Xenopus tropicalis: one gene and its partners. The protein of the gene in region 2 interacts with the protein of the main gene of each other region in a pairwise test. Links are inferred from orthologs where the notes say so. Each region holds a gene or a part of one and is shown on either strand. Other genes may lie near its edges.

The links.
Region 1: the proteins of usp2 (region 2) and dtx3 interact in binary tests that used the Homo sapiens proteins (3 or more experiments, as listed by UniProt). The link is inferred for Xenopus tropicalis from reciprocal best matches to the Homo sapiens genes USP2 and DTX3.
Region 3: the proteins of usp2 (region 2) and vps52 interact in binary tests that used the Homo sapiens proteins (3 or more experiments, as listed by UniProt). The two-hybrid records come from large-scale screens. The link is inferred for Xenopus tropicalis from reciprocal best matches to the Homo sapiens genes USP2 and VPS52.
Region 4: the proteins of usp2 (region 2) and ndel1 interact in binary tests that used the Homo sapiens proteins (3 or more experiments, as listed by UniProt). The two-hybrid records come from large-scale screens. The link is inferred for Xenopus tropicalis from reciprocal best matches to the Homo sapiens genes USP2 and NDEL1.
Region 5: the proteins of usp2 (region 2) and lhx4 interact in binary tests that used the Homo sapiens proteins (3 or more experiments, as listed by UniProt). The two-hybrid records come from large-scale screens. The link is inferred for Xenopus tropicalis from reciprocal best matches to the Homo sapiens genes USP2 and LHX4.

The regions. Positions count from the first base shown.
Region 1 is NC_030678.2:140,818,839-140,824,123, forward strand, and holds part of dtx3 (probable E3 ubiquitin-protein ligase DTX3), read left to right. Parts: intron 1-2,483; coding exon 2,484-3,238; intron 3,239-5,285. UniProt on the Homo sapiens protein: Regulator of Notch signaling, a signaling pathway involved in cell-cell communications that regulates a broad spectrum of cell-fate determinations.
Region 2 is NC_030683.2:80,119,416-80,124,700, reverse strand, and holds part of usp2 (ubiquitin carboxyl-terminal hydrolase 2), read right to left. Parts: coding exon 5,257-5,285; intron 3,129-5,256; coding exon 3,064-3,128; intron 1,172-3,063; coding exon 1,068-1,171; intron 334-1,067; coding exon 253-333; intron 1-252. UniProt on the Homo sapiens protein: Hydrolase that deubiquitinates polyubiquitinated target proteins such as MDM2, MDM4 and CCND1. Isoform 1 and isoform 4 possess both ubiquitin-specific peptidase and isopeptidase activities.
Region 3 is NC_030684.2:72,054,273-72,058,357, reverse strand, and holds part of vps52 (vacuolar protein sorting-associated protein 52 homolog), read left to right. Parts: intron 1-420; coding exon 421-539; intron 540-1,134; coding exon 1,135-1,258; intron 1,259-2,465; coding exon 2,466-2,561; intron 2,562-3,071; coding exon 3,072-3,179; intron 3,180-3,436; coding exon 3,437-3,502; intron 3,503-3,588; coding exon 3,589-3,700; intron 3,701-3,786; coding exon 3,787-3,905; intron 3,906-3,986; coding exon 3,987-4,085. UniProt on the Homo sapiens protein: Acts as a component of the GARP complex that is involved in retrograde transport from early and late endosomes to the trans-Golgi network (TGN).
Region 4 is NC_030686.2:49,762,865-49,767,123, reverse strand, and holds part of ndel1 (nuclear distribution protein nudE-like 1), read left to right. Parts: intron 1-1,816; coding exon 1,817-1,983; intron 1,984-2,137; coding exon of another isoform or gene 2,138-2,172; intron 2,173-4,043; coding exon 4,044-4,125; 3' UTR 4,126-4,259. UniProt on the Homo sapiens protein: Required for organization of the cellular microtubule array and microtubule anchoring at the centrosome. May regulate microtubule organization at least in part by targeting the microtubule severing protein KATNA1 to the centrosome.
Region 5 is NC_030680.2:101,064,200-101,069,433, forward strand, and holds part of lhx4 (LIM/homeobox protein Lhx4), read right to left. Parts: intron 3,496-5,234; coding exon 3,327-3,495; intron 177-3,326; coding exon 1-176. UniProt on the Homo sapiens protein: May play a critical role in the development of respiratory control mechanisms and in the normal growth and maturation of the lung. Binds preferentially to methylated DNA.

The DNA of each region.
Region 1 (5,285 bases), on a different chromosome or scaffold from region 2:
ATACTTAGAGTAATTGACTGGTAATATGCTTCATTTATAAGTGAACGTTTCTTTTGGTGAGATAAATAAAAATCTAGATAGAATAGAAATCCAGCATTTCTGCTAATGGTTTAACACCTATACAGTAAATGCATTACATTCATACATGAGACCTTAGAATATAAATAAAAGACAAGTAAACATGCTTCCAAACTCTTTGTTTAGAAAAACAATTCCATGATGCTTTTTTAATTTACTTAACAAAGTACTTGGTGTGTCATACTGTGTTTGCTAATCCTTCCATGCATCCTTGTTTGTACTGTAGCTTAAAGGAGAACTCCACCCAAACACAACTTAAGCTTTTTGAAAAGTAAATATAATTTCAAGCAACTGTGCAATATACAACAAGTTAAAAAAGAAGCCTTTCATGAGTTTTAATGTAATAATATCGTTGAAACAGTTATCAAAGCCTGGCCCCCTGTTCTCTTGCTTGACTCAAAAAAGACTCAAAAAATAAAAACAATAATGGCAGTTGACTGTCCTCAGCATCAATAAGTAAAGTAACATCAGAGTGCAATGCATTGTGGGTTAAGTAGTTACTGCATGCTGTCTGTAAGCTGTGGAGAAGGTGTTACAATTTGTAACATCAAGTTTTTAGTCCCTTCTCCCCTGCCAAAGAGAAGAACTGTTTTTCAGATAGATTTCAACATATAAAAATTGTATTTATATTATTATTATAAATTGTATATATTTGAAGGAACAGATTACAGTGGTATGTAAATTAGGGGTTTGGTGTTGTGTGGGGCTCTTTTACAAATTTTGGTTTGGAAGTCAGAGTTCCCCTTTAAATGTTACTTATATTAAGGATGCTGCTTGCCACAGTACATGTAACACTGACATACCTGGGGATCCTAGAAAGGCACAGGGCAATCTTTGAAAGGAGGTTAATAAATATATACACTGTATACCCACACTTGAGGTTCTTAATCTCTAACCTTTATTGATTGCCTCTTGATACATACTCAAAAGATCCTTTATCATATAGCATGGAACAAAGATCTTAATACCATCATTACAGAAGAAAACTGGTCCCAAATATGGAAATCCATGGTTGCTCAAGAAACATTTCATTATTAGAAACCTTATATTTCATATTTAGATGCTGTAGCCAAACCGGCTCTGTGATGCATATCTGGTGGGACTGCTCAAATGCCAAAAGATTTTGGTCTAGAATTTATAATATAACACAAAAAAATAAACTTAAAGAAAGATGCACAGAATGCTTTATTGAATATTAAGATACCCAATGTTAATAATTACACTAGGTTATTGATAATTTTATTCTCTTGGCAGCCAAAATAACAATTTCATAATTCTGGAAATAAACCCACATTCCCATTTTTCATTTCAAAGAAAAAACTAATTTGGATTATGTTCAATGATAAACTGACCAGCATACATATAGACAAGCATGAGGAAGTCATGAAAATACAGAGACCCTGGTACACCTACTCTTTTCCGAATGTAGGGATTTCATCTACTTTTCACTTTAGATCAACCTTTTGAAATAAAAGCCAACAAGTAACGTACAAGTTTAATGGAAATATTATTAACGTCTTATATATCAGATCATAAGTCTAACACAGTTTTGACTTCAGTATGGTATAAACTTTCAAGTTATCCTCATAATTGTCCACTTTGTTTCTCCATTTGCTTGGCCCTACTGCCCACTTGAAATAAGAACGACTTCTTCTTTTCTCTTTCCTCCTTTCCTTTTTTATTAGGATATCTACTGTTCATTATACAATTGTTTTAATTTAATATCTGCTTTGTAAAAGTTAAAATGCAAATAAAAATAATTGAAAAGAAAAATACATACTGTACATGATATATAGGTCAGGTAACTCCAAGGTGAATTGCCCCATCCTTTAGAATTTTCTGCAGGTGGTACACCATCTCATATAATAATGGGAATAAATAATAGTTTTGGCTATAAATAAAGAGAACAGTTGATTTTTTAGTAGTTAACCTGTGGGTCTACAGACTAACGCGAGCCTTCTGATTGGGCGCAGCTCTATAAAGAGCTAATAAATTAGTGATGCCACAATACTGACTTTGCTGTCTAGTCCTGCTAGCCTTGGATTGGTTGGATACCCAAGTGTTAGAAATAAATACATTTGATTTATGTTACTATTGAACTAATGTGTTATTAAATATATTAGGCCTTTACATGGCTACACATTTTTTTCTAAATGCTTATATACTGTTTGTACCTATATATTGCTACATCATCTCGATAAGATATAGATGAATATCTATATTATAAAGAGTATATCTTGTAATACTGCTCAGTAATGTGCAAAGACTTTCTGCACTTGACAGCATTTTCTCACCTTGAGAATGCCAAAGGCTGTTTTCCTACTACTCAGTACAGTAAGTGACACATTCTTTTTTATATGTTATTTTTTTCTTATTTGCTTCTAACATTCTCTCTCTTTTTTCAGTTTCCTTTGTCTTGTCCAGAATGGCAGCCTGTGGAGGAAACATAAAGAATAAAGTCACAGTTAATAAGACCGTATGGGACTTTCTTAACAAGGAGACCCCTTCCAAACTTACAAGACTTTGGGAAGAAAACAGAGTGAGGATACTGATTGATGGTGAAACATCTGAAATCTATGTTCTACGACTATCCCCTGAAAGTCATGTTCCAGCAAATGCGCTTTATTTAGCCAGAAAGGCACTGAAATCCCTTCTTAAGGAGACTGAGAAGGAGTTGAAGAAATCATATAAACAGCACCAGTTGACTGGATGTATGGCTTATGGTGATAAGAATAGTGAACATGCAACAGAGCTGCACCTTCGAGGAACATATTCCAGGGGGGCACAGAGCACTGGTGGCAAAGGACTTCCTGGGTGTGCAGGAGGGGGGGCTAGCAGCAGTCATAGCAGCTCTCGAGATCATAGAAGGGAAGACCCAGAGGACGATCGAGAGAACCAATGTCCCATTTGTCTGGGTGAGATTCAGAACATAAAGACACTGGAGAAGTGCCAACACTCGTTCTGTGAGGATTGTATTACCCGGGCACTGCAGGTGAAGAAGGCATGTCCAATGTGTGGCCGTTTCTATGGGCAATTGGTGGGTAACCAGCCAGAAAATGGTAGAATGTTGGTATCCAAGGACTCCGGTCTGCTGTTGCCTGGTTATGAGAAATATGGGACCATTATTATCCAGTATGTCTTCCCACCAGGCATTCAAGGGGTAAGATATGGTATATATTGTAGTACCACCAACTATTACAACAAAAATCATTATTAGACTACTTTCTACTTTACATCTATTTTTACATAACTGTATATTAATCCATGTATCTATTTAAATATTAAATAATTAAATCTACTTTACTGAAATGGGTTACATTTAGAATTTAAGTTATGCTTTCTATAGACAAGACAATATTAAATATAAATTCTGTAGATAAAAGCACTTATGGCAAAACCTTTTTGCGCCTGGTACACTAACCTGCGGGTTGCAGCCTGCAGGCTTTTGTGCTCCAGTATAAGATGCAAAGTTCTGTACCTTTTCCATGAATACAGTACTGTCTGCAGTTTTCAGTGCTATATTTATGAGAGATCTGTGATGGCCTATGGACATCCCCAAGCTATTCAAACACAAAAGCTAGGGGTTATGCATTCAGTATGTAGAAAACATTAGGTAATCTGTGGTCCTGTCTTCACGTATTGCCTTTTGATTGCTGCCATTAATACAGAATACTAATTCAAGCAGCTGTTTGCAGGCACCTTAGAATATTGTTGTGTATCTACGTGACCACAGGCCTAGGTGCAGAACTTACACCTGCTCCCCTACCTAGAATGTACACACACCTCCTGCCCTTCTGGTATGTACACCAGTGTAGCATATCAGTTGCTCATAATAGAACACGTTTGTAGCATTCCCAACCAAATAGATATGCCAAATGATAGGACAGGCATTTTTCATCAGCCTGAGAGGACATCTCACATTGTACTGCAAAGTAAAACTGATCAACCTACTTGCTCAAAAGTATATATATCATCAGTTCTTACATGTATTTCTAGTATAAAATGAGACATGTTTATTGCAGCACTAGGCAGTTGGAAAATGTTAACGAATAAATCAGCAACATGAGAAATTAATTATTTAGAGTTTGTATCTGTGTATATCATGTTGAGGGTCTTTACTAAACTCACTGGGACATCTAATAAGGAAACCAGCTCATCAACCATCAATCAACAGCATTAGAGATAATTTGGTGTGGCAGTAACAAAGCTGACCTCTAACAAGCATATTTTCAAATAAGTAATCAGGGAATACACACGGGGGACTTTGTCTCACTGAATCACAGAATGTCGTACATACCCCTGTACTTGTCTGCGGCAGAGATGAGAATGGATGTCAGGGTCTTTGCTGGCCGTGCTGGATTTAGTATGTCAGAAATCTTGTTGTGCTTCATTGCCAGCGTATGAACCATTGTTTTGCAACACCACTGTATATTGGCTGATGTTCCTGCGGTCTGCTACTCAGGCAATCGAAGAAAAAGATTAGTGTGAAATAGCTGCCTGCAGGGACAGTCCGGCTCCACTCACACAGTAGATATACAGCAAAAAAGGCATTAAATTACTTTAAGGAGAGCGGCCAGTGCTGAATACAAAGGCAAAATGTTTTAGAACATCTAAAGGCACTGTCATTTTGCTTATCAGCCTACACCTGTTCTGATTTGAATAAGTGTGGTAATTGTTTAAAGGTTTCACGATTCATCAAATCTTCTCAACAATGAAATGGAGGCAAAGCTGAAAATGTTCATTTTAATTCCGTAAGAAAAAATTATACAGGCTTGTGTCAGAATTCCAGCCACAATCATCTGATTTTTTTTTAAAATGAAGGTTTCTTTTAGATTTGTTACCTACTTGCCCTTCACTTACAAAGCATACGTTCTGGAAAATGTATTAGGCCTGATTTACTTTACAGCTGGGAATTCCCCCAACCACAGGCAGTACCAGAAAGATTTATATCAATGACAAGATCTTCAGAAAACAAAGTCACAAGCATGAAATTGCTTTTAGCTGGAATGCTGATGTTAAAAAAAACTTTTCCAGTCATTCTCATGAACACTGACACATATGTGCTCTCTTTAGCGTATGTTTATGGGCATAATTGCGCAAGCTGTAGGTATCACCATTCAGGAGAAATTTGTGTTGGTTCCAATTTCACATAATAAAATCATTCATGAAGGCACTGCCTAGAATTACTGGCTGGATGTTTACAGTTT
Region 2 (5,285 bases):
TCTTGGTCTTGGTGCAGGAGCATGGCATTATGGGAATTTTGTTTACAGAGCTCAGCATTTTTCCCTATGAGGCTTCTGATCACCTGAACAGGCGAAATATGGGGAGACTTTAGGGCACTATTGAGAGAACTGAAGGTATGCCTGCAGCTTGATATTAACACTTTATTAGCCTTTCCTTCTCCTTTAAGAGCCTGTGTGTTATAACCAAAAGCTTGGCTATTCAATAGAAAGTGAAACATAGTGCAAACTCACTGGCTTTTCGTCACCATCTAAAACATCTTCCTTAGTAAAAAGACGCATACAATCTACGAGGGATACTTCAGAGGCACTCTTCTGTTGAAAGGGAACAAAATCAATTTATATAAATAATTCAGATCTAAAATACAAATGGTGTTCTGCTGTGGAGAAAAATGTTCGGCTCTGGGCCTCTTTTGTTTTTTTTTACATGCACAATAGTTTGTTCTATAAGCCTAAGATACTGTGTGCTTAGAGACAGAATTGATTAACGTTGTAAATATCAAATACATATAAAGAAGATATTAATAAAAATGGTATGGCCAACAAATTGGGTGTAAACTTTAATACAGTGTTAGGAAAGGCAGGTAATTAATAATTTGATTAGAGCCAAACTTTGTAAAACATCTGAATAATATCAATTACATAAATGCTATTAGTGGCAGGTGATAGTATCAAAATGATCAAGTTCTAGTGTGATCTAAGACCAGTACAGGCCAGAAGCCACCTGTACCAGCAATGATGGTCAGTTTCCATTAAACTGAATGACAGATGGCAGGGATGATTTGGGGCATTTCCAGATATGACTCTTCATTAGTCTACAACTTATAAAAAGTCAATCTTTTCACTTTTTTTTACATCAATACGCATTATAGTATTTATCACAATTGTTAAGTAGGAATAAAGGATAATTCCCACACCTTTACAACTCTATTCAAATGCAATGCTTGTCACAAACTTTGCTCAAAGTTTTAATGCAAATAAAAATCTTGCCTACATGGAAACAAAGAGTTTTTTTGTGTATAAAAATGGCATTGGAGGGAGGAACTTGCCTTAGCTATTGGAAGTGAGAGGTCCCAGAATGGGTCAAATACAGTGGAACAGTATCCGCATTCTGTGCAGGTGAGGGAACTCTTCAGCTGGCCAACAAACAGTTCTGCAATTGGGAGAGCAAATTCAGAAAGATAAGAAGCTGACAGACAAGAAGTGATTAGCTAGTTACAGAGAAGACATATGGGAAACAGAAGAGCTGTCATCACTCCCCATCATTTGTTTTACAAAAGGGATGTATTGGTAGACCATTCATCTGCAAAGCTACTACAAAAGGTGCTATCCTAAAAATATAACCAACATTTCTTAATCAGTATATGTCCATCATTAAGGTCCCTAAAGTATGCTTTTGGCATGTTACCTTTAATGTGCATAGGTGTAAGGACAAGAATGCATCTTCTGTGGGGTATGTAGCTCCTAAAAGACAACATTTTGTACAGGTATTGGACCTATTATCCAGAATGCTCAGGACTTGGTGTTTTCCGGATAAGGGATCTTTCTGTAATGTGTTTCTCTGTGTCTGCTAAAAAATCACTTTAACATTAATTAAACCAGCGTTTTTCAACCTTTTTTGGGCAAAGGCACACTTGTTTCATGAAAAAAATCACGAGGCACACCACCATTAGAAAATGTTAAAAAATTTAACTCTGTGCCCAGCAGCAGTGCCCCCCTAGTACATTGGTGCCCAGCAGCAGTGCCCCCCTAGTACATTGGTGCCAAGAGCAGTGCCCCCCTAGTACATTGGTGCCCAGCATCAGTGCCCCCCTAGTACATTGGTGCCCTGCCCTTGGCACACCAGGCAACATCTCGCGGCACACTAAACAGTGGTTGAAAAACGCTGAATTAAACCCAACAGGGTTACTTTGCCTCCAGTGAGGATTTTATAAAATGTGAATTATTCAGTTACAGTGGAGTCTTCCTGTAATTCTGAGCTTTCTGGATAACGGATTTCCGGATAATGGATCCCATACCTGTATTAAAAATCATCCAACTACACCTAAAAAGTAGAAATTAGCTCTAATGAGAGATCCAGGAAAAGATTATCCTTGATAGTGTCTAGAGGACTGAAGCCATTTTGCTACTTTTCAGTTTTTTATAAGGGAGGTGACACATGGGAAGATTAGTCGCTGGTGGGATGGCATATGCTTCACTTCGATTTTCCTAAGTCACAGGAAACTTCAGATGACTTCGGAAAACCAAAGCAATGCGTATGCCTTCCCTCTGGCGATTTACATTCTTGCTGGTGGGATGGCATTTCAGGGAGATTAGTTGCCCATGGTAGCGAAGATTTATCGCAGGCGACTAATCACCCCGTGTGCCACCTCCCTATGACCTGTCACCCTAATATATAAAGCTGTATAATAGAAGTCCTTTAAAAATGAAACATAAAACCCAAATTCTTTTTTTACCTGTTATTAATGTTTTTAAAAATACATTTAGGCATATAATTATGATTGCAATTAATTTAACTTTCAATTCAGCACTTCCTAGATATCAACTAGATGGCAAATGCATAATATTTTGGAGTGATACAAAGCTTTCCTTAATAACAGTGTTCACAAAATGGCCCCTGACTTTTCAAGATTAAAGGGAAAAACTTGAAAAATGTAAATAGTGTTAGTTAAGTTCAAAGGATTTGAAATAATTTCTTATGGTGACTGGTCCCTTTTAAAAATCCCCAGTCCTCAAAAATGGGAGTAATTGCTTAAGCAAATGTTCCAATTATACCGTATGATTATATCTCAAACGTAACCCTACAATGTACTTTCACACTCATTTACATAAAAAAAACATCATACACAAATCTAGATTCACAGCCAAAGACGGTAAGCAAATTTGCGCAAGATGCCATTTGCGATTGTAGGTCAGATGAATCACAATTTTTTTTTCTTGTTACTTGGATTGTAATAGTAAGTTTTAACATCATGTAAATCTTATGAAATCTTTCTTTACAACACTTTTCCTTAGATCAAAACCCACTAAAGCAGTACAACTTACCCACAATTCTGCTGTCCTCCCTCTCCAGATATCGCTTCCACATATGTTTGCCTTTCTCCGAGTCACTGAGAGAAGAAAAAAAAAATGTTGTTTGTTTTCTTCATTATATACATTTTAATCTTCCTTTGCCTCTTTTTCTATTTCCCCTGGTTAAAATCAGGGTCATTTCAGTAAATATGACAATGTTAATATTCATAGTACTATAGTGATTTTTGAATGTAAAGGGTGGTATTCAATCTGGCATGATCGAGGCACCATCTGTCCATTTCTTGCCATGATAAAGCACAAGACAAATACTTTTTCAGGTAGACTTTCATTAGTACAGTTATACAGAGAGGAATGCTGTTGCACAGCAATTATTCTTTGTAATGTTGTCATGGAATTGTAATGTAAAGACTACTCAGTTGCTCATAGTTATGTACCTGTGTAGTGTGTTAACACTTTATGTAACCTAAAGAAAAAAACATAGAAATAGCTCTATCTGCTGATGTTTGAAGGCCAACATCATCAGTTACTGATCATCAGTTACAGCTGAACACTAACCACCACCATTTACCTTCAGTAGTAGCCATTGCTAATGTTGTGTAAGCCTTTTAATGTTGTAAAATTGTTGGGTAAGCCTTATAAGATTTATAGAGCATTAACAAGTTTGCTCATGTGTGCAATTTTGTAGCCATTGTTGTTTCGACTATGTGAGCTAAAATAATGGAAACTTGGACAGTATTGCAATTTTATGAGAAAATGTTATTTTATAGTTTACCAAGTGAAAAACGTCAGGTCCAGTTTTTCCCCATAGTTTTTATGTGATAAACATTTTTCTCATTGAATTCTATCTGGCCCTGTGGGAAAATCTAGAATTGAATTAGGAGATAAACTTTTCTAATATATGTTTATACCTTTTTTTCCCCCAATATCTCACTCTGGGCCTATACAGGTATATGGCCATCCTGTCTTCTCTGGGGCATACAATCTACCATCTTGTTGTCAAAAATGTTCATGTTCTATTGAAAGTGAAAATTCCTTTCTTTTAATCTAAATGTTACAGTTTATTATAAAACTAGAAGAAAACAAACTATGCTAATTTCTGAGTATGAGCAAAGGAGGGCTGTAATGTTTTGGTCTCCTTTGACGTTGTGAAACAAATGGGTATGTTTGTTTTAGCAACAAGAAGTGCCATACAATACATGTGATTATAGACTGTAATAACATGTAAATACAGTTACATAATGAAGAATGATTCACTTAATTATTATGGTAGGACAGTAATGAAACCTTGTGTCTGGAAGGACTCCAGGTTTCAACTCTGTTTTGTAAAGCTGATTTCCCAAGGACGTTCTCTAGACGACAGAGATTTTTGTAGACAAGGTCAAACCGAGAAAAGATTTTTCAAATATATATCTCACTAAAGCCTAAAGGCTAATTATTTTATATGCTTGTTTCAAGCAACCTCAATGCCAGAGAGCTAATATACTTTAAAGCTGGCAAAAGAAATGCAGATTTATACTTTCTGACAAAACTGTATGATCAACCATGTATTTGTGCACCCCCCTGCAGCAGATTTGGTCAGTTATCCTGTAGTGTGGCTTCCTATTTTGAAATAGGACCCAGAAAATATGTGTGTCCACTGAACTGGGTTCCATCTCCATAGGTAGATACGTTTCTATCAGTGGAATCTGCTAATACTTATGTGCAGCCAACTTGTACAAATCCAACATTTAGGCTTGTGAAGTGAGCATCCAGATATCTTAGTAGAAGAAAACATAGAGTTCTACATAGTAGGATCTACTGCAAATCTCACCCTGGCTGGACTGTTTAAAGTTCAGAAAGCTAAATCTAAGCCCCAAGCACTGCGTTTTTGTGGCAATTAATTGCTAATTTGCCTACTTTGTTGTAATTTCCAGTATCCCCAGTGGTTTACAGATTAATTAAATGCAGATGTATTCCTTCCTCTAGGGAGACATCAACCACAAATTCCATTCCTGTCCTCCCCCATACAATTGGCAGTAGCACAAACCAAGGTCATAAGGCAGAGACCAAAAGTGCTTGTGTTCAGTTTAAATATAAAAGACGACTGTAAAATCAAGCCAGGCAGTCAGAAACACTTTGACTTAAACACTGATTTACATCAATTAATGTAGTATGCACATGCACTGAGTACTCTCTACTTTCTCTTGACTTATAACCAATACTCACGGCATATGGTCCAAATCCTGGCTGGAAGG
Region 3 (4,085 bases), on a different chromosome or scaffold from region 2:
TATGGGAGGCTTCCAAAATCATGCCCAGAAGGATCAAAGTCATACAGGTTTTCCTGCCGCTTACGATCGTTCGGACACGAAAATTTTGTGACTTTCAGATCGCCAATACGATATTATCGTACCTAATACAATTTTTTCATAAGAATTTTCGTGACATTTGCGATCATCAGAAATTATCGTATCTAATCCGAATTTTACCCATTTTGGGATTCTAACTCATACTTTGATGAATCAGCCCCAAGAGTATGAGTTCTGTAATATGTGGGGCACACATTTCCTTTCCCTTTATTCTAATATTTTGAAAAAGCCCCCAGTAGTCAATATTGTCAACATTCAAAACAAAACAAAAACTATATGTAATATAAACAATGAACTTTATGTTCTGTTGCTTTTCACATCTTATATGTGTCTGTCCCCCAGAAACATATTGATTCCTATGTATCGGACTGCTATGACAGCATTGCTATCTTCCTCTGCATTCACATTGTACTGAGATTCAAAGGAATCGCTCAGAGAAGAGACATCCCTGCTGTGGACAAGTAAGAAATTAATATTTTAAAGCATACAGAACAGGGACAACATATGAACAGAAAGAAGCTGGGAAAGGCAGTCACACAGATAATACTGCCTCTGTTTGTTGTTCCTCAGTCAATGCTTAGCTTGTAAACACCACTGCTGGCTAGAGGGCCATGATGCAATCTACAACACCTCAATAGTTTAGCTCAGTCTACAGACTACTTGACTTTTTTTAGAGATCCATATCTGTGTCCCTTGCATGTGTACAGAGAAATTTTAATTACAACCAACTACCCTGGAGTTAGTAACTCGACTGGGTAAGGGGTGGGGGTGAGGCCTAGTGGTTCTCTGACATGCTGCTAGCATTTAATATATGTTTGCCTGTTGGACAGGCATTGGATAATCTAAATTCTATTGGATTGTAATTAAGTTATAGTCATGGTGGCACAATTATGCTAAGAGATTCTAGCTCTTCTATACATAGAGATTATGTTTATGCTGATGCTGGATTATATTTCTGTGTATGTTAAGAAGACAGTCTTGATACTTTTTAATAGTGTATATATGTGCTATAATAGGACACTATTTTTATATATTGTCTTCATTAATATTCTGCAGATACTGGGATGCCCTTCTGGACATGCTGTGGCCCAGGTTTCAGCTTATCCTAGAATTAAACATTCAAAGTATTCGAAACACAGATCCACAAAGGCTGGGCACTGTTGATACAAGGCCGCACTATGTAAGCAGTAAACATCTGCCTATCTCAGGAAAAGTCTTGATAAATTTACTGGGTGTAGTAACACAAATACATCATACTATGCAGAAGTTTAGGGGTTGTCAGAAAATATTAGCAGAAAGTGGTGTAAAATCTGTTGTAGAAGCTGATGCAATACTGGGCTGATTACTAATCATTTTAATGCAGAATGCTGTAGTTTATGTGCTGCCATGTAAAGTGGTTCTAATGTATTACTGATCAGCCTTGTATCATCAAATTTGTGTTTTGTATATAGATACTGTATATAGTGGGTTGGTCCCTAATCTCAGCCGTGGTTGCCTTGGGCTGCTACGGAAGCCCAAAACATAAAAAGCATTAAAAGGATTCTATCATGATTTTTTTGGAATACTTTTTATTTATAAATGACACTGTTTACATAGCAGATAATTCATTCTACCATTCAAATTTTATTCTTGAACCAACAAATGTATTTTTTTAGCTGTAATGTTGGTGTGTAGGCAGCCATCTCAGTGAATTGTGCCTGAGTCTGAGCTTTCAGAAAGAGCCAGCGCTACATAGAACTGCTTTAAGATAACTTATTGTTTCTCCTACTCCCATGTAACTGGAGGAGTCCCAAGCCGGACTTGGATTTCTTACTATTGAGTGCTATTCTGATATCTACTGGGAGCTGCTATATTGTTTCCTTCCCATTGTTCTGCTGATCGGCGGCTGGGAGGGAAGTGAGATCACTCCAACTTGCAGCTAAGCAGTAAAGTGTGACTGAAGTTTATCAGAACACAGGTCATATGGCTGTGGCACCCTGGGAAATGAAGAATATGGCTAGCCCCATCTGAAATTTCAAAATAAAATATAAAAAAATGTATTTGCGTTTTTGAAAAACATGGATTTTAAAGTTCCACTCACGACCCAGATGAAAAAATTTACAGTCTGTGTCAATCTTACCCTTTACTGCCAGCTTGTAAACGTTATAATCTGTAGTAGTGAGTTAAAGAGCAAGTGGGAAGGTCAGTTTCACAGTCCATTAGAGGGTTGTCCATGTACTTGGTCACTTGCAAGCTTGACCTCTAAACCACTTTATACTGCACAGCTCACAGATAAACCCGCTGGTGCCACATTTTAGGTACAAAACCTAATTAATTACAGAGAATTATACAACATTACATATGTGTCTAAAAAATAAGCTATGAAAATTGTTTTTTTTTCCTTTTAGATAACCCGTCGTTATGCAGAGTTTTCCTCAGCCATCGTTAGCATAAACCAGACATTTCCAAATGAGAAGACAAATGCCCTGCTTGGACAGTTACAGGTACTAACCTTATATGAAGAGAATTTGGAGAAGGATTATAAAGTGTGATGTGGGATTCAGCCATCCTACACTTTTTTAAGATATAAAGTAAAACCCAGTAGGATTGTTTTACCTCTTATAAGGATTAATTATATCTTAGCTAGGATCAAGTACAAGGTACTGTTTTATTATTACTAAGAAAAAGGAAATCGTTTTTTAAAATGTTAAGTATTTTAGTAAAAAGGTCTACTGTAACTCAGAGCTTTCTGGATAACGGGTTTCCTCATAACAAATCCTATATCTGTACTAGTTATATTTTGGGTTATGTGAAAACGTCATATTTTTTGTACTCTATGAATAGGTAACATCAGTTAACTAAGAAGCTTCTTATGGGCAGTGACAAAGCTCCAGATTTTGAGTATGTGGGGGATATAGTGCTCTAAATGTGACTTGCTAGAGAAATATTAGATTCTACATGAAAAAGCCCTGGAGGTTGCCTATTGGTAGTTTTTCTTTTTGACTTTCTTTTAGGTAGAAGTGGAGAATTTTGTCCTTAGAATGGCAGCAGAGTTCTCATCAAGAAAAGAACAGCTAATTTTCTTAATAAACAACTATGATATGATGCTCAGTGTCCTTATGGTGAGTCCCACTAGTTTGCAACACATTAGATGTTTGTGGCATTTCACATAAGACAAGGTTTAACACTAGCAATGTGTTCATTTCCTATGAAATCTGACTCATCCAATTCAAGTTGGTTTCACATGTAATAAATTAATAACTATACACAGTGAACCTCACACTAGTCTGTAATGTCTATTGGGAGATATTAATCCGACATACAAACAAGCAGAGCTATAGTTCAGATCATTTACAGTTTTTTTCACTGCCATCTCTAGGAACGAGCATCTTCTGACAGCAAAGAAGTGGAAAGTTTTCAACAGCTGCTGACTGCTCGAACACAGGTTTGTAGCCCCTTTGTGTTTGTATTATTACCTTCTACACCATGTATTTCATATTGATTTTGTCCTTGTACTGTTTAAAATGCCAGGAGTTTATTGAAGAGATACTCGCTCCATCATTTGGAGGAATGATTGCATTTGTCAAGGAGTCAGAATCTCTAATTGAGAAGGGACAGCAGGAACGACTCAGAAGTGAAGAGGGTACAGGATGTTTGTATTTTAACAAGTCTTACTATTTGTTTTTATTGTCACTCACTGCATAAAGTAACGGTCTGAATTTCTTGTAGCACGTGTTGCTCAGCTTGTACGGGGGTTCTCATCAACATGGAAACAAGCAGTGGAGAATCTGAGTCAGGATGTTATGAGGTCATTTACCAACTTTAAGAATGGAACTAGCATTATACAAGTAAGGGAATTAGGAAGGGCTATTTAAGAGAGACCTTTATTTGGGTTCTTCCTTTTATTCTAACTCTCTCCATTTTTACAGGGTGCATTAACACAGCTGATCCAGTATTATCACCGCTTCCATAAGATACTCTCCCAGCCGCCACTCAGGAATCTGCCTGTATGCTCAGAATTAATAAAC
Region 4 (4,259 bases), on a different chromosome or scaffold from region 2:
TACAGGTCCTTTTCAAAAAATTAGCATATTGTGATAAAGTTCATTATTTTCTGTAATGTACTGATAAACATTAGACTTTCATATATTTTAGATTCATTACACACAACTGAAGTCGTTCAAGCCTTTTCTTGTTTTAATATTGATGATTGTGGCATACAGCTCATGAAAACCCAAAATTCCTGTCTCAAAAAATTAGCATATCATGAAAAGGTTCTCTAAACGAGCTATTAACCTAATCATCTGAATCAACTAATTAACTCTAAAAACCTTAAAAAGATTCCTGAGGCTTTTAAAAACTCCCAGCCTGGTTCATTACTCAAAACCGCAATCATGGGTAAGACTGCCGACCTGACTGCTGCCCAGAAGGCCATCATTGACACCCTCAAGCAAGAGGGTAAGACACAAAAAGAAATTTCTGAACAAATAGGCTGTTCCCAGAGTGCTGTATCAAGGCACCTCAGTGGGAAGTCTGTGGGAAGGAAAAAGTGTGGCAGAAAACGCTGCACAACGAGAAGAGGTGACTGGGCCCTGAGGAAGATTGTGGAGAAGGACCGATTCCTGACCTTGGGGGACCTGCGGAAGCAGTGGACTGAGTCTGGAGTAGAAACATCCAGAGCCACCGTGTACAGGCGTGTGCAGGAAATGGGCTACAGGTGCTGCATTCCCCAGGTCAAGCCACTTTTGAACCAGAAACAGCGGCAGAAGTGCCTGACCTGGGCTACAGAGAAGCAGCACTGGACTGTTGCTCAGTGGTCCAAGGTATGTCATTCGGAAATCAAGGAGCCAGAGTCTGGAGGAAGACTGGGGAGAGGGAAATGCCAAAATGCCTGAAGTCCAGTGTCAAGTACCCACAGTCAGTGATGGTCTGGGGTGCCATGTCAGCTGCTGGTGTTGGGCCACTGTGTTTTATCAAGGGCAGGGTCAATGCAGCTAGCTATCAGGAGATTTTGGAGCACTTCATGCTTCCATCTGCTGAAAAGCTTTATGGAGATGAAGATTTCATTTTTCAGCATGACCTGGCACCTGCTCACAGTGCCAAAACCACTGGTAAATGGTTTACTGACCATGGTATTACTGTGCTCAATTGGCCTGCCAACTCTCCTGACCTGAACCCCATAGAGAATCTGTGGGATATTGTGAAGAGAAAGTTGAGAGACACAAGAGCCAACACTCTGGATGAGCTTAAGGCCGCTATTGAAGCATCCTGGGCCTCCATAACACCTGAGCAGTGCCACAGGCTGATTGCCTCCATGCCACGCCACATTGAAGCAGTCATTTCTGCAAAAGGATTCCCGACCAAGTATTGAGTGCATAACTGAACATAATTATTTGAAGGTTGACTTTTTTTGTATTAAAAACACTTTTCTTTTATTGGGCGGATGAAATATGCTAATTTTTTGAGATAGGAATTTTGGGTTTTCATGAGCTGTATGCCACAATCATCAATATTAAAACAAGAAAAGGCTTGAACTACTTCAGTTGTGTGTAATGAATCTAAAATATATGAAAGTCTAATGTTTATCAGTACATTACAGAAAATAATGAACTTTATCACAATATGCTAATTTTTTGAAAAGGACCTGTAAAACTTTCCCCCAATGAGAATCCCAGCTGATGTGAGTAAATCCGGCTCCCTGTTCTCTGTTCCTGCAATTGGAGTTGGGAGCAATAAGCACAGTTTCCCAGCACTGAACAAGTCTGTCCCTTTAACAACCACTTTAACTCCTAGCCCCCCCCCCCCCACTCAGACCCCCCCCCCTTCCCCCCAGGACGCTGCATACTGGGAAGTAACTTTTGCTTTCTCTTCCCCCCCCAGGCCTTGGAATCTAAATTAGCGGCATGTAGGAACTTTGCCAAGGACCAGGCGTCTCGGAAATCCTACGCACCTGTCGGCTTGAACAGCAGCGGTGGCGGCAGCAGCGCATTAAACAGCAGCGGGGTAAAATACTCCCACGCGGGGCACACGTCATTCTTCGACAAGGGGTAGGTTCCGACATGAGCAGCAGCGCCGTACAAACCTAGAACCCCCCAATTAATCTGTATCCAGAACAATAAAGGCCACGCTTAACCATTGTACATGCCCATTGGCCAGAGCCCTGCAGGCTGAAATAATCTGTGTTTTCTTCCCCTTTACTAGGCAGGAGAAGGTCATTTTCCCCACGTTGTTTATGGGTAATGAAACCGTAGCCAATAAGCTGCATGCTGGTGTCTCTGGGTGATAGAATTAACCCTTCATAACTTGAGATTTCTTGACTAATCGCATGGGGGCAGCTCTGTAACCAGCGCTCTCTGCCGTCTGTATGGGGTAGGAAGGAGAGTTGGACGGTTTGGTTTAAGTTGGCCTTGGGCAACGTGCTAGTAACCCTTTAAGGGGCGGTTCACCTTTAGATTAACTTCTAGTATGTTATAGAATGGCCTGTTCTTAGCAACTTTGCTATTGGTCTTCATTTTTTTTATTTTGTATGGTTTTTAAATTGTCTATTGCTCTGTGAGGCTGCAGCTTTATTGTTTTTGTTACTTTTTATTCCTTATTTTTTTATTTGGGCTCCTCCCCTCTCTTTTAAATCACTGCCTGGTTGCTAGGTTAAATTGGACCCTAGCAACCAGATAGCCGCTGAATTTCCAAACTGGAAATCCACGCCTGCCAACAAAATTGCCTTATCACTATTTAGGGCCTGATTGTTTTAAAACAACAGTACCAAATTAATTGGCTGTTTAGCCGCCACGGCCTTGGCGCGACATTAAGTGGCCCCCATAATAACTGCCCCCCCCCCGGCTGCTGTTTAGATATCAGTAGCTGCTTTGCATTGCAGAACTGGACCCTGCCTTCTCACCTCCTCAGCACAAAAGGAGTAGTTAATACTGTGCTGTGTGTTGGGTGGGGGTAAGGTAAAAGCACGGGGTAGCTTTGCATAGAGACCTTTATAACTGCCCCGGGGTATTTTATCCCTGTTAAAATGGCCACCCTGCCCCACAGAGCTCGGTGGAATTACCCTTTTATTACTGAGATTTAGAATCTTAGTAAATAAGCAGTGCCCATGTTGTGCCCCTTGCCCTGTATGTTTGGGCAACACCTGAGTCAATAAACACTGGGGGTTCATTACACACAGTTGGGGGGGGGGGGCCCACGTTGTTACTTTCTTCCACTATTGCCAGTGACTGGCTGCAGGGGGCAACGTCCATCTTTAAACCGCTGCCTGGTTGCTAAGGTAAATAAGCCCCTAGCAACCAGATACCTGCTAAAATACCAATTGGAGAGCTGCTGAACAAAAAGCTAAATAACCATAAAAAAGGACCAATTGCAAATTGTCTCAGAATATCTACCTCATATAAAAGGTTAATTTAAAGGTGAACTTCCCCTTTAAGCAACGCCGAGGTGCCTATAAATAAGTTCCCGCCCAGCCTGTAAGGACTTGATCCAACAGGGACCCGTGTCTGGTTCTGCCGGGAACTTAATGACTGATTCAGCCTTAGAAGCCAGCGCGGATCTGAAGGGAACGCTTGCTGTGGGGCTCATTCCTTCCAATGATACGTGCCCCCCCCCGGGCATAGCGACTGCTCTGTATTAACCATGTAATGCTCAGAATGGAGTTACATGGACAGGCCTAACACCCTTGTTGCCCCCCCATAGGCCATGTACAATTCCTATGGCTGATTTGTTACAGTGGGGGGCCGCTGGGTGTTTCTGCTTGGGACGAGGGATATGGGGGGGGGGGTCTATTGAGCCTTTACTGATTGTGCTTTGGGGTGCTAGGTCCCTCTCTCTGTGTGTTCATCCTAACAGAGCATGTCCCCCCCCCCAATAACCCTGTTAGTAGTGCCCCCCCTGCGCAGTATAAATGGCCCCCCAGGGAGCAGCCATTTATATACTATTTCTGTATGAGCTCTGTTAGTATGAATATACATCCCCCCCATAGAGACTGGATCCTTACTGTACAACTGTGGGAAATAGGGGGGTGAACCCTAAAATATCCTTGTGTAGCTCCTTTCAGTACCCCCCCCCCCCAATAACTGTTCATTTATTCTTCTTCTTTCTATTTCAGGGCAGTAAACGGTTACGACCCCCCAGGAGTTCTGGGATCGCGGCCCCCGTCCCCCCCGGGAATGCTTCCGCTTAGCGTATGAGACGGACGGAAACTTTATTTTATTTTTATTTTTTTTTTTGGGCGAGAGAACAAAAACTTGCTACGGTTTCAACCACTTTTGCTGCCTCCGCTCACCCCGGCAGACAAGGGGTTAACCCCCCCTCTCAGTGAGTG
Region 5 (5,234 bases), on a different chromosome or scaffold from region 2:
GAGGGAGGAGATAGAAGAGGGAGACTGTGGCATCTCATAAGGACTACTGTCGTGAAGGTCCTGGTAAGATTGTCCTGTTCCATCCATTGTGAAGCCTCCATTCACCAAAGGCACAAGATCTCCACCAGAACTGTAAATACCACCACTTGATCCAAGTTCAGACAATATCTGCTCATCTACAAATAATAAGGAAACAGCAAACATTTTTACACATTTTTCATAGATAAATTTCCTTCCTATGTAAAGTAAATACTACTGTACTGCATGGTAAAATACAAGACTATTACTCACGATGGGTTTTTATGACGATATAAAGGCACAAGACCACAGGTCAAGTATTTTTGCTGAGGTCAGGGAACTCTGTGGTGACTCCTAATATTCTCATATCCTCAAAGTTTCCAAGGGGTACATTATTTTTTTTAGTAAGTTTCAAGAAGTCATTTGACAAGTGGCATTCTTAAGCACCAATTAACCATGATATCACTAAGCTCTGTTATATATGTGTGATATATTTTACAGGTTATTAAATGCACATGTGTATTATACTCTAGTAAATTTATTAACTAACTGACCATGACCATCCAATTAAAGGGGTCATACTGCCACAAACTGGGCTGCAACATTGTTTCAGGAGTTTCTCGCACTGCAAAAAATAATTTTTGTATGGAGGATGCCACTTCCACAAATTCTAGGGAGGCACTGGACCTAAATGCGCCCCTTGGGATGCAGAGGTGACGTCACTTCCTGCTGAGGCTCACCAAGGACACCCAAACCCCCCCCCTCCAGCTCTGCCACCGGATTTCAATAGGTTTGATCTGGCGGTCTCGCTGGGGCGGGGTTTTATTCATTTATTTATTTATTTTTCTACTATATAGGCACCAGAGGGTCACCACCCTGAAGTTGCCGCACTAGGCCCAGGCTTTGGGTGCCTATATATATCAGCTTTGCATATTTGTACAAATTGTATGGTAATATGCTAAATGGTGTGCGAACTGGAGACACAGGTTATTGTACAAGTGTAATGAGAAACACTGTTTTTAAATTAGTCTGTTAAGTAATGCTGATGGACTGAGATATCAGCTGCCACTTTGAGAGGCCCACAATGTCTAAATACCGAAGCAGATTTCTCTATCTTGCCTCCAAATTAATATGTTCTAATGGGGGGACCCTACAATCGTTAAAATGATAGTGGTCACAAGTTGATAGTGAAAGTAAAAAGCGACAAAGGCAACAGTAAAAATAGAAAGTGCAATCAAAAACAACCACAAAGTAGAACATAAAAAAGGGGGGAGCTAAGACCTTGTGGGGCTTTCTTGAACAAAAGAAACCTGTAGGTAAGTGATGTCAGTTCCAGATAGGAATAAGGAGAGGAAACATATGCTACCCAATGTACCCAATGGTCTGTAAGTTGCAGTATTATTGTCCATGTTAAACAGTGTTAGTGGTTGATATATTCTACCATTTACCAGTAAGTGAATGTATGGGGCACAACTAAATATACATACAACCTAATACACTGGTTTTTATAGGAACACCATAGATCTATCTTTTTTTACAGGAATGGGATCATTTATCCGGAAACCCATTGTCCAGAAAGCTTCAAATTATGGGAAAGCCATCTCCCACAGAGTCAATTTTAAGCAACTACTGCTACATTTTAAAAATGAGTTCTGTTTTTATTTGTAATAAAACAGTACCTTGTACTTGACCCCAGCTAAGCAGCATGAATTGGAATCCTAACATAAAAATACCCCTGGGAGGTGCAATTAAAAAAGCTGTTGATGGCTTTGCCACTTTTACACCTTTAAGTTTTGCTTTCTGCTTGCTCATATATTATGGACAATATAAGGGACAGAATATTATAAGGATATTAAAAGTCACCAAGGGGGGTTCTGTGGCCATATAAAGGCACAAGGTGGCAGAGTTTCCATCTGTCAGAGCTAAGCACAGATATTGTACAGCATAAGCAACATAGGATGTTCCAAACCCCCCCAACACATTAGAGAGCCTTAATAAATAAATACAACTATCTGCGCAACTCTGGGCTAATTTATCAGGAATTCAGTGCTGCCAAAATTCAGTTAAGGGCCACCATAAAGCTTCTTTAGGGTCTGTACATTTCAAGTGACACTGGTGCTGTTCAGTGAATGCATGTTTTATGTTAAATTAAAGGCAAGGTCTCTGAATTATAAGATGCTAAATATTCACTACAATAAAGTCATAAAGCAGTTGATGGCCGAGCTAGAAACATGATTAACGCTCTTTCAGCATTCTTATATACCTGATAAATTGCCTGGTTCATGGCTGTGTTTGACAAATGGACTAGAGGGAATACTGTGTCTGTATTTACTGCAGCTGAAAAGCGGATGTTGTAGCTCCAATTGCCCGTAAGCTCTTTAGAGTTAACTCTCCCGCTGATAAATAGAGGCTTCATTATAATATCCAATCATTCATATGACAAACCCATTACTCAATGTAAAATCTAGGCTGTGAACTCAACCAAAAGCAAAGCAGGCGCCTGGGAGGAAGATATCCAGGGGCACAGAGAAGAATGATTGCCAGGGAAGAAGTGGGGGAATATGGGGATCTGGGCAGTGCTAGAGCCTTGGGGGACTTCAATGCCATAGGAAAAAACAATGTAACTAGCACCAGCTTCTGTATATTGCATTCAGCAGTTGAAGGCCCACAGACACAATATCCCCAAGGCATGTTTTGAGAATAGCAAGGTCATTATCAATTCTCATGGGACCCACTTACTACTGCTACTTAGTCCAGCACCTGCTGGAGCCTACTGGATGATGGACCTTGTCAACTAATTAGAACTGGGGTTCCCATAAAAAAGGCCAACAAAATTCCACACCTGGCCATGCTCCCAATCCATCCCAGCCCACCCCATTATGCCCAGAACATGCAGTGATCCTCCCAAACTACACCAACTCCCAAGCAAGCCCCACCTCCATTTGAATTTGTGAATTAGATATAATGTCTTACAGGATACCTGACTGGACTATCCCTAATGTTGTCTTGATGGTGCTCCTGAACAACTGTGTTTTGCACTTCTATTCCCATTTTTATATTCAGAGGGCTCCACTAATGCTATGGGTCCAGGCAGTGCTGTTGCAGTAATGAGTCAAGGTGAGAATGTACCTCAAGCGGTACTTTACCAGAGGAGGCAAAATACAAGCTACACAACTTGCACAGCATTATGTACTGTTTTAAGGCACCAATTAAAGTGTTCCAATCATCATCTTTTCTGTGGCTGCATTACCGCAATATAAGAAAGATAACTATAGACTATAGTATGACTTTCTCAGTAAATGTTTTACCTCTGTAGCTCAGTTCACTGTCACTCACACCACAGTCCTCCGTAGAGCTTTCTTTTCCTGACTTCCCCAGCCTTGATTTCCTCACACTTTTATAGAACTGACCCCAACGCTGCCGGCCTGCGTCCTTCTTAAGGCGTTTCTCCTTAGCTCGTCGGTTCTGAAACCAAACCTAAAATAAGTAATAAGATGAGATTGGAGGAAAATAAGAATGAGCTGTTATAGTCACCGGGATCAATTTAGCCATAGCAGCAGCTCTTGGTTGGTTGTACAGACACTGATCAAAGAATCCACTGGGCCTTTACACCTTCTTACTGGATAAATATTATATGTTCCCTATGCATTTTCTTCATGAAGTTATTTCTGTATTAGTTTTCTAATGTCTCCATGCTCCACTACCCCTATATCCAGATATAAAACTATCAATTGCTTGCAATGGCCTTAAACCAGGTAATGTACTTCAATATTAGTTTAGTATTTAAGTCCATTAACAGATATACAGTTTAGTTGTGTAACTAAAGATGCTTTAATTTCATTACTCAAAGAAATCCCACACTGCTCTCATTAAGCATTCACAGTAAGTTCTAAGCATTAAAATTCCCTCTTAGTGTCTGCCTGCAGTCCATGCATCCAATAAAATCATTCACTGCATGTATTCAATAGCTTTTCCTTCCTCTTCATAATGCTACTCAACATTCTAGCACACAACAAAAAAGGCTCCTCTTTTCTTCATCTTTTCGCACAAACAAAGCTGGGTGCCTCTCCACCTTTGCCCAGTTAGGGATTTATTACAATATGTCTAGAGATGTATAAAGCAGGTAAATATATTAATGAAATATCAATGTTAGAATTTGCTGCACTATGGCAAAGAATATCAAAGCCCCACAGTAAGTGCCATAAATGATTAAAGTCAAATCAAGAGCAAACAGATGATTTATTATTGTATTGCCTGATGGCTGAAGCTTACAGTGTTATTTAGAGAGCAAGGTGGGTGTGATCACTGAAGATAGAGGAAACTGGGTTATAGCAGAAAATATAATATAATAACCTCTGCTATAGATATTTGTAAAGTTTGACCCTGAGTAGAATATATCCTGCCTCAGCAGTCCATAATAATAGTCAGAAATTGAACCCAGATTCTTTGTTTATCTGTCACCAATGCTACCTTTGCCCAAGTTATACTGCTAACCTGATATCTTTTGCTCTTCCTCTGTGCTAGTCTCAGACATGTCACCCCCATTTATACCGACAATAGGGACAGAAAAAAAAATGTGGTCTGCTTGTAACTCGTCATGGTCTAGGTGTAACAGTGTGTGGGCACGATGAGGTGTGGACAAAAAACATCCATTTATATTCAGTTAACTTAAAGGTAAACCACCCTTTTAACTATAGAGAAAGCAGACCCTGCTGTCATGGGGGGTCCCGGTAAAAGGAAAGGGGGCCAGACTGTGAGGCCTCTATATCCACTCTATTGCTTGAAAATTTGCATTCCCATTCCCTTCCGAAGATTGTTTTTCAAGGAGACCTGGTGCTATGTTGTTACACCCCTGATTTGTTGGTTACAATGTTTCGGTGGCCCAACAGATATTTCCTGACACAATAAATTGTGACTGAATGAAAACACAACTAAGCAAACTTTGTCAAGAGTTATGATGGCTTAAACAAATGTTGAGGAATTTTGGTCTCCACAATATGAAGTTTAAGGGATGCAACTTTATACTGATGGACTTAAAACGTGCCTTGAGTAGCTGTTACACCAGTGTCGCACAACTGGGTTGGCATATGTGTAATGGAAATGACACAATTCACATTAACCATTAACCAATGGTGCATCAAGTTGTTGGGTAACAGAAGTTTCTAGCAATCAAACAACTACCATAGGGTTTCAGACTAGCTAGAAATAATTTATGT